2 linked regions of the Macaca mulatta genome follow. The protein of the gene in region 1 purifies or fractionates together with the protein of each later gene. This does not show direct contact. Links are inferred from orthologs where the notes say so. Each region holds a gene or a part of one and is shown on either strand. Other genes may lie near its edges.

The links.
Region 2: the proteins of DNAJB4 (region 1) and BAG2 purify together in Homo sapiens (affinity purification with mass spectrometry; 4 studies listed by BioGRID and IntAct, with this or other methods). This does not show direct contact. The link is inferred for Macaca mulatta from reciprocal best matches to the Homo sapiens genes DNAJB4 and BAG2.

Annotation. Positions count from the first base shown.
Region 1 is NC_133406.1:162,537,562-162,542,674, forward strand, and holds part of DNAJB4 (dnaJ homolog subfamily B member 4), read right to left. Parts: intron 2,216-5,113; coding exon 1,647-2,215; intron 1-1,646. UniProt on the Homo sapiens protein: Probable chaperone. Stimulates ATP hydrolysis and the folding of unfolded proteins mediated by HSPA1A/B (in vitro).
Region 2 is NC_133409.1:125,109,183-125,114,295, forward strand, and holds part of BAG2 (BAG family molecular chaperone regulator 2), read right to left. Parts: intron 1,267-5,113; coding exon 1,157-1,266; intron 1-1,156. UniProt on the Homo sapiens protein: Co-chaperone for HSP70 and HSC70 chaperone proteins. Acts as a nucleotide-exchange factor (NEF) promoting the release of ADP from the HSP70 and HSC70 proteins thereby triggering client/substrate protein release.

The DNA of each region.
Region 1 (5,113 bases):
ATACAAGATAATAATAGAGCAAACTGGGCTGGGTGGGGTGGCTCACACCTATAATCCCAGTACTTTGGGAGGCCGAGGTGGGCGGTTCACTTGAGGTCAAGAGTTCAAGATGAGGCCGGGCGCGGTGGCTCAAGCCTGTAATCCCAGCACTTTGGGAGGCCGAGACGGGAGGATCGAGACTATCCTGGCTAACACGGTGAAACCCCATCTCTACTAAAAAAAAATACAAAAAAAAAAACTAGCCGGGCGAGGTGGCGGGCGCCTGTAGTCCCAGCTACTCGGGAGGCTGAGGCAGGAGAATGGCAGGAACCCGGGAGGCGGAGCTTTCAGTGAGCTGAGATCCGGCCATTGCACTCCAGCCTGAGCGACAGAGCGAGACTCCGTCTCAAAAATAAAATAAAAAAAATAAAAAAAAAAGAGTTCAAGATGAGCCTGGCCAACATGGTAAAAACCCATCTCTACTAAAAATACAAAAATCAGCTGGGCATGGTGGCGGGCACCTGTAATCCCAGCTACTCGGGAGCCCGAGGCAGCAGAATCACTTGAACCTGGGAGGTGGAGGCTGCAGTAAGCCAAGAATTTGTGCCACTGCACTCCAGCATGGGTGACAGAGCAAGACTCCATCACAAAAAGATAATAATAATAAATAACAATAATAGAGCCAACTTGGAGAAGTGCATATACATTTTAGGGGTAGACATCAGATTTAAAATTACTTATTTTAAGCTAAAGAGTTTGGACTTTATGGTACAGGTTATGTACAGCAATTTAAGAATTTGAAGCAGGGAACTGCTATGACCATATTTGCAGAGTTACAATCCAATTTGAGAAATAGTGCAAATAGGCTGGGCGTGGTGGCTCACACCTGTAATCCCAGGACTTTGGGAGGCCGAGGTGGGTGGATCACCTGAGGTCAGGAATTCAAGACCAGCCTGGCCAACATGGTAAAACCCTGTCTCTACTAAAACTACAAAAATTAGCTGGGTGTGGTGGCAGGCGCCTGTAATCCCAACTACTCAGGAGGCGGAGGCAGGAGAATCACTTGAACCCAGAGGCGGAGGTTACAGTGAGCCGAGATCACGCCAATCTGGGTGACAGAGCAAGACTCTGTCTCAAAAAAAAAAAAAAAGTGCAAATAAGAACTCAAGTAATAACTGTATTAATGCAGTACCATTATAATTTATAAATGTATATATTTATATGAACTTATAAATGTGTATTTTTATTAACATAAAGGTATACAAATTTATTATTTATAGTGAATTATAAATTATTTTCTTCTAATACCTTTTTGTTATGCAATTATTACTCCATATTAACAATTTTAGAACAAACCCTATATATAGGGCCTAATGTGTTGAGATTACCAATGCAGATCTTATAAAGCACATTTGTAAAAGCAGCCTCATAGTACATAATCCAGTTAGCACTTAAAATTGACACTTTAATTCTAAGTAACTAAAGTTAGAAAATATAATCACATCCATATAAGAGGTATAATACCAGTACTATCTTAGAGGATTGTTATAATAATTATTTTTAACGTATAATAGGCATTAAACAAATGTTAGCTATTATCTAGATATACTCCCTATGATCAACCACATAATTATTTGGTCTCAGGATTTTAGGTCCTACCAACTTACCTCTCGTAAACTAATTTTAGCAGTATAAATTATATTTGATCCATCTCTTTTAAATTTTGGATGATCTTTGTCTTTAATGATAAAAACAATGTCTGCTGGAATACTATTTGGTGTTTCATCTCCTTCTCTTGGAAAAGTAATTTTGGTGCCTTCTTTCCACCCTTTTTTAATTTCAATGGTAAGAATTTTGTCCTCGGATCTGTAACTCCTTCCATCAGCATTTAGCCTTTTTCGAGAAATCTTCATCCGTTTGGTACAACCACTATATATCTCTTCAAGTGATACTCTAAGTTCATGAATAACTGGAGGATCTTGTTTGAGGCGGGATGGCCCCACAGAATTCCTGTCTCTTGGATATCCATTCATGCTGAAACCAAAGGCACTAAAAGGATCACCATCTATTTCCATTTCTTCAGAATCTCTACCACCACCCATTCGTCTTCCAAAGAAAATTTCAAAGGGGTTGGACCCTCCGAAAAATGCAGCAAATGTAGCATGAGGATCGCCATGAAAGGTGTACCGGAAGGTACCTCCTTGTCCATCAGTGCCTCCTGCTCCTCCTTTCAACCCTAATTGAAGAGATAAGCATTATTAGAAAAAAGCTTGCAACTCAAGTTAAACTTTCAAAAACTGTATTGCTAATAAACTTTGGCTAACTTACATTAAAATGTATTAATATTGGCCAGAAATGCCACTTTAAATACAGAACAGCTATAAAACTCTTAATGATTACATCCTAAGTTAAATTGTTAGTTTTCAAATTCTTCCTCCAAATTAGCACTCTTTGTTGTTGTTGTTGTTGTTTTGTTTTGTTTTTGAGACAGAGTTTCGTTCTTGTTTGCCCAGGCTGGAGTGCAATGGTGCAATCTCGGCTCACCGCAACCTCCGCCTCCCGGGTTCAAACGATTCTCCTGCCTCAGCCTCCCGAGTAGCTGGGATTACAGGCATGCGCCACCACGCCCGGCTAACTTTGTATTTTTAGTAGAGGCAAGGTTTCTCCATGTTGGTCAGGCTGGTCTTGAACTCCCGACCTCAGATGATCTGCCTGCCTCGGCCTCCCAAAGTGCTGGGATTACAGGCATGAGCCACTGCTCCTGGCCAAATCAGCATCTTTAATAATTTATTCCTGATTCTTTGTTCCTCAGGTAAGTAAGAAAAATAAAATAAGGTCAGGCGCAGAGGCTCACACCTGTAATCCCAACACTCTGGGAGGCCGAGGCAGGCAGATCATGAGGTCAGGAGTTTGAGACCAGCCTGGCCAACATAGTGAAACCCCGTCTCTACTAAAATTACAAAAAATTAGCCAGGTGTGGTGGTGGGCGCCCGTAATACTAGCTACTTGGGAGGCTGAGGCAGGAGAATCACTTGAACCCAGGAGGCGGAGGTTGCAGTAAGCCAAGGTCGCGCCACTGCACACCAGCCCAGGCAACAGTGTGAGACTCCGTCTCAAAAAAAAAAAAAAAAAGAAAAGAAAAAAAAAGAAAAAGCAAAGAAAATTAGGAACTTCTTATCTTATAAACTACTGATCTGGCATGCTGAAATATATAAATTATATAAGTATCTACTTATAAATATGTAAGTTTTTAAAAGATGTCAGTTGGAAGGTCTTCAGTAATTGATACAAAGTATAGAACTTAAATATTTAATTTATATTATAATCAAACAATATATATAACATTTAAAAATATAAATATATTAATAAAATATATTGTAAAATACAAGATACCACATTCATACTGTTTATATATAAATAAAATAGAAATACGTAAAAATATAATGTAATAAAAAATACCATATTCATTCTAACTAGTTTTATTTCAGATCATCTTTTACTGTTTAAGAATTAAAATAGGGCCAGGTGCAGTGGCTCAAACCTGTAATCTCAGCACTTTGGGAGAGCGAGTCGGGTGCATCACTTGAGGTCAGGAGTTCGAGACCAGCCTGGTCTACATGGTGAAACCCCATCTCTAGTACAAATACAAAATTAGCTGGGCATGGTGGCACATGCCTATAATCCCAGCTACTTGGGAGGCTAAGGCAGGAGAATCGCTTGAACCTGGGAGGCGGAGGTTACAGTGAGCCAAGACTGAGCCATTGCACTCCAGTCTGGGCAAAAGGAGCAAAACTCCATCTCAAAAAAAAAAAAAAAAAAAAAAATTAAAATAGAACTCTGTGGCAGAGAGTAAAAAAATTCTAATAATGAAAAATAGTTTTTTAGACACGAAAATTGTCATTCCTTCTCTAGATGCCAAATTTGTTTATCTAGGCATACCACATCTTAGCATTAATTTCAATGCTTATGAGAAGAAGACTGAAATCAAGAGCTGTAAACTTTGACATGTAAGGCCTCTATATGGGTTATTTCTGTCTCTTGTGAACAATCCACCTCAGGCAACAATATAGTGACTTTTTGACCCTTTGCTTAAAGGTTCCACTAAGTAATATTTAACCCAGAAAAGATTATATTTGAAACAACATTTTCCACTATGTGTGAAAGAAATGTTCTACTAAAACCCAAAAAACAACAGTATGGTGATCTTTTAGAGGTCAATACTGACCAAGAAACAAGCAGGAAAAGAATCTAAAGATCATAAAACTATGAAAAATTCAACAGGTTAAGCTAGGAGATTCTAATATCTCCAAACAGTGAGTGATTTGAAGGCAGGAAATATATTCATTTTGCATTGCTCAAGCATACAGGGCTGAAAATGGTAGGCATCCACGCTTAGTGAATGAAGGGAATGAACTAATTCCTAAAGTCCTTCTAAATCAAAACTAAAAAAAGTATCTTGCATATCAGTACAGAGAAAAAGGCAGAAGCAAAAACAATGTAAAATATAATCACACATATACATATATAAGAGATTTAACAATTTAAAATGCCACTAACACCAGCATACTTTAAAGAAACTTAGTTTTGCTTATGTCTTATTCTACATTTGGCTTCTTCCATTAAAAGGTATATATATACACTCTATTTCATCTAACAGAGTCTCAAGTGATATCTAAATTTTTACCTTCATCCCTGAATAGAATCTGGAGAGACCAAGAGAGACCTAATAATCTGAAAATTGTCAAAATATGTATTGAACAATATATCCAAATAGCAGTTAGGGAAATTCCTTGTAGAAACTGAATGACAAGTATAAGCAGGACAAGATCTTTTCATAAGCAGCTCATCCAAATTTCCCTTTTACAAATTTTAGTAGTATAATTATAACTCCAAATGTTAAAAAGCTAATGGCAGATTTTTTTTAATGATAGAATAATATGTAGCTCAAGGTCATGACCAAAGTGACTCAACCAATGCTTAAATTATTCGAATCATTTTATCCTTCATCCCATAGACTTAAGGGAATATAATTACTTAACTGAGTTAAGCAAACTGGGTAAATCAGCCTGCCCAATCTAGCCTCTTATGAGACAAAATTTAATACTTGCACCCATAATGAATTCATGAAAAGAAA
Region 2 (5,113 bases), on another chromosome or scaffold:
TCTCCAGATAGAAACAGGACAGTGGTCTAAAGTCTTGACCGGCATGAGGAGCTCTATCAACATTTCATTATTTATATGAAAAAGTCAGCAATCTCCTGCTTCTGTAACTTCCTAATTCATTGATCTTTGGGCAGGACAGTGTAGAGACTAGATCATGGCCTACCATAGATGTGTAACAGTTTTGATCTGGATTTAGATTGCTTACTTATCTCACCAGTCACTTGGCCCAGTAACATGTGGCCTGTGTGGCACCAAAGGAGCCCAAGTAGGAAGTCCAGTGCCAATAAAAAGAAAATCACAAGTGACCTATTCCTACCTATTACATGTTCTTCACATGAAAATGACAGCACAGGCTAGGCGTGATGTCACATGCCTGTAATCCCAGCACTTTGGGAGGCCGAGGCAGGCAAAATCACCTGAGGTCAGGAGTTCGAGACCAGCTTGGCCAACATGGTGAAACCCTGTCTTTACTAAAAATACAAAAATTAGCCAGGTGTGGTGGCAGGCGCCTATAATCCCAGCTACTCAGGAGACTGAGGCAGGAGAATCACTTGAACCCGGGAGGCGGAGGTTGCAGTGAGCCAAGGTCGTGCCACTGCACTCCAGCCTGGGTGACGAGTGAAACTCCATCTCATAAAAAGAAAAAAGAAAATGACAGCACATTTTTACATTCATGCCTTTTACTGGTCCTACAAGTTTCCTCATTTTCTCTGCATTTTGTCCCTCTCTTTATGTTGTACCTCAATTCATCTTTTTTTTTTTTTTTTTGGTCTCTACTTCTCTGCTTCCATTCTCACCCTTTTTCCTCTGTGTTTTTTAATCTCTTGCAGTCCAGTAACTTGTGAAGAACTGAAGTTAGGAGTGTGAACCTGGGATAAAACACATGGCCTTACTGCTTGGGGCCAGCTCTTCTGAGCTTGCAGGCTTTTTCCTATCTCTCCCAGCCATGGCTTGGGGTAGAGAGCATGCTGGAAGAAATCTCTGAGTAAGTGGCTGCTATAATAAACTGACAGCTGCAGCTGCTCTCTGTGGCTCACATTAAATGCTGTGGCCTAGTATACGCATACCGAAAGTCAAGCAAAAATTGACCCACACTTATCATAAACTCTTTAAAGGAGTGTAAAAGACGAGCCCCTTCTGTGGAGATGGCTCTCACCGTCACTGATCTGCCTCATGTCCTGGCTATTTTGGATACTGTGGATCATTTCCAGAAGGATTTCTTTCTCTTGCTCAACAGCAGTTGCTGCTTCTCTCAAAGCTTCAACCCTATAGAAATTGGGAAAACAAAACGGTTATTGTATGCAGGATGTTCTTCCTATTAATTTTATCTCTCATTCAACCCAAATCAAGTTTAAAGATCACCAAACTTTTCAAAACTTCTTCATTTCTGCTTTAAAATTCTTTCATTTTTCTATTTTTTATCCACTTGCCTTTCTCCTATTTTCCTTCCAGCTCATGAGGCAATTCTATTTAGTGTTTATCTAATTAATAGTATTTGTTTTTACAAGATCTGTATTATTTGTATATTTTGAATTTATATCTCATTCTGTTTTTATTTTTTCACTTAGCATCCAGGATCCTATGTGTACTTTTTTTTTTTTTTTTGGAGACAGTCTTGCTTTGTCCCCCAGGCTGGAGCACAGTGGCACGATCTCACTGCAACTTCTACCTCCTGCGTTCAACTGATTCTCATGCCTCAGCCTCCGGGCCCAGCTAATTTTTGTAATTTTAGTAGAGACGGGGTTTCGCCATGTTGGCCAGGCTGGTCTCAAACTGCTGGCCTCAAGTGATCTGCCCACCGCAGCCTCCCAAAGTGCTGGAATTACAGGTGTGAGCCATCACACCCAGCCCCCTATGTGTACTTTTAATCAGTTGGTGCTACATATTTTATAATACTCCATGTGTATACCTACCTGCTTTTCCTTCTCCACTCTCCCAGAGATGGACACTCAGGTTGTCTACCAACTTCTTATTACTACAAATAACACTTCTATGAATACATCTCCCCTTTGGATCTTGGTGAGGATTTCCTTAGGACATATACCAGGACAGAATTGCTGAGATAAAGGGTATGTGTACTCCGCTTTTGACTTAGTACTATGATTATTCTGCAGAATACCTGTACCTGTCCATTCTCCACAGCAAAGCACAGGAGTCCCCATATCCCTACCAACACTCCGCATTTGCCAACTTTCTATTTGCTGCCAGTGTAGTAGAAGTATGTCAGGTTAACCTGCGTTTTCCTAATAATTTCAGACATCTCTTTGTATCCTTGTTAGCCTATTCATAGACTTTTCCTATTTTGTTTTTCTATTTTTAAACAGGAGTTACTGTCCCCTTGCTGATTTGTATACTCAAGAAATTCTTGTTGGTTACAGACATTGCAGCCATCTCTCATCCTCTCTTATATGAACCACGTCTGGGATGTCTGGCACTAAAGAGAGACTCTTATTTTGATGTGATCCAATTCATCTTTTTTTTTTTTTTTTTTTTTGCCTTATAGCTTATGCTTTTGAAGTTTTGACCTAAGGTCTTCCCCCTACCCCTTGGTCATATTTTCCTATATTTTCTCTTATTAACTTTATAGTTCTACCTTCCTTATGTCTTTAATCCACCTAGAATCAACCCTTGTATGTAGTTAGTTAAGAATGTTGTTTTTTTTCAAATAGCCATTTTCCCCAACATTATTTACCAAACAATCCATCTTTCCCCTAGCGAATGCGTATTAAGTTTCTCTCTAAAATCTCTATCCCATGCATTAGTGTATTTAACTGTTCTTATACTAGTGCCCAGTTTTGTTTTGTTTGTTTATAGCACTAGCCTTGTACTATACTTTAATATTTGATAGAACATGCCCCTCAATCTTCTTTAAAGATAACTTAACTATTTATGGACTTTTACTTCTCCATATAAATTCTAGGGTACGTTTATTGTGTTTCTCAAAAAATGAGAGAAATTCGACATCTTTATAACGTCATTCTGTTTAAGGGCATGATATATGTCTCTTCATTTATTCAGATCTTCTATAGAGTTCTCATGTATTCTTCATAGTAGTCTTTGTAGATATTGTTGCTCTTGTGAATTTGTATTTTCTAGTTGATTTTTACTGGTTTGAGAAGTGTTGTCTTTGTAGGTTTATCTTGTCACTGGCGACCTTGATTTACATGTATTCATTTTAGTGTTCAGTCTGTTGATTCTGTTGGTTCTTCTAGGTAAATGATCATATCCATATCATCCATAGTTTTTATTTCCTCCTTCCCAATCCTATTACTTTTCTATTACTTTTTTTTTTTTAAGAAAAGGTCCTTCAGTACTGTATTAAACAGTGGCAATGATGGGGGTATCTTTGTCTTTTCCCAAATTTAAGGGAAAGTCTCTGTGGCTTTTTTGTGTAAAACCCTCATCAAACTATAGAAGCGCTACTTTCCCCACTTCACTCAACTGCACACACATGCACTCACACTATACATACACATAATTGTGCCCAGTCACTAAAAAACTAAGCTGGGGAATCATGAGAGCAAAATAAAAATATACATATTGTATATTTAACATGTTGTATACTTCCAGGGTACCTTATTATTATGAATTACAGTAAGTTGCCAACTTTTGCAAAATGAAATAGTGACAGACCTATTCCCAGTATTTGGATGGTCTTAGAAGTTCATGAGAGATCTAATCCTAACTGCTGTCTTAAGTGTGCACAGAAAGAACAACTTCACCAATGTTTTAGCATGTTCAATTCCATAAAAGGATCTTCCCCCTACCCCAAGCACACACGTGCCTTTTCCCCTTCGGTTACCCACCTGTTATACCCCAAAATAGTACTGACAGGCTGTAACATCACAGGATATCTTTATTCTTCAAGATATTAAATATATGTCAAAGTCTGTGTTTATAAGAGCCACTAAAAGCAAAGAACTGGGAAGAATCTCATGTGACAAATTTGGCTAGAGAACACAATCAAAATACAATATTCTACAAAGTAACAGTAATGCAAGTATCAGGCCCTATTCCAGGACCATTCACTATTTACTTAAACATTTTACATTAGCAATCTCTCAGAAAGATAAACTAGGGCCCAGAACATAGGAAAGAGACTGAGTTGGCACTAAATATTTATGCTAAAAGCACAAACCATGACTCCAATATTTAGACAAATGACACAGGTGAATCATTTGATTGGTAAATGAGAAGATGCTGAAAGAAGAGATTAATTTTTCAACACTTCTTCGGCTGGTATTCAATTGTAAGATGATAAGAGAGAACAACACTATTCTGAAAAGGAAGGTTTCATTTACGAGTTACAGCAATAAGTTCATGTTCTTAACAAAATAGATAAAAAAAGACATTCTAGAAAAAAATAATAAGCCTATCATTCATATGAAAAAATATTTTATCATTAAATGACACCAAATAATTAGATGGAACTGCTAAATTTTGTGTTTTTGGGACCCCCCCCCAACCCCACAAGGCTTTTTAAAATACATAATAGAAATTACCAGGGCATTATCCCTGTGAAAACCAGATTTTATCATTTATAGACCTTCTTATATACATTTTTATGTATACTTTTTTCATTTCATGCAAAGGTAAAATGTCATTCCCAGAATGTAAAGATCTCAGGGTTTATTTGGCAACATGGGCTTTTCATGTCCGATTCCCTCTTCAGGTAGCATTCTTTCTCCCTGACCCTTGTCTACTGGGTGATTCCTTTTCAAAACCCAATCACTGGCAGGAATTGTTTCCTTAGCTTCCCCTATCCCCTCCCTTAAGGCAATTCATGCTCCCTTTGGCCCTGGTACATCCATTTACTCTCTGGACTACCTCATATTTTACATTTTTTCTTTTAAAAAGCTGAACCTAGAGCTCTACTTAATTTAAGTAATGTTTGTATTGTTCATCAGCTATTGCTATCCTTAAACTCATATACATGTCTTTTGTCTACAATTTTTCCATTAGTTCTAGAAAATTCTTGGCCGTTGTATCTTTGAATATTCCCTGTCTCCCATTCTATTATTTTCTTCTGGAACTCTGGTTAGAGAAATGTTGGACCATCTCACTTTATCCTTCATGTTTCTTAATATCTCATCTGACAACACTTTTCTTGGCG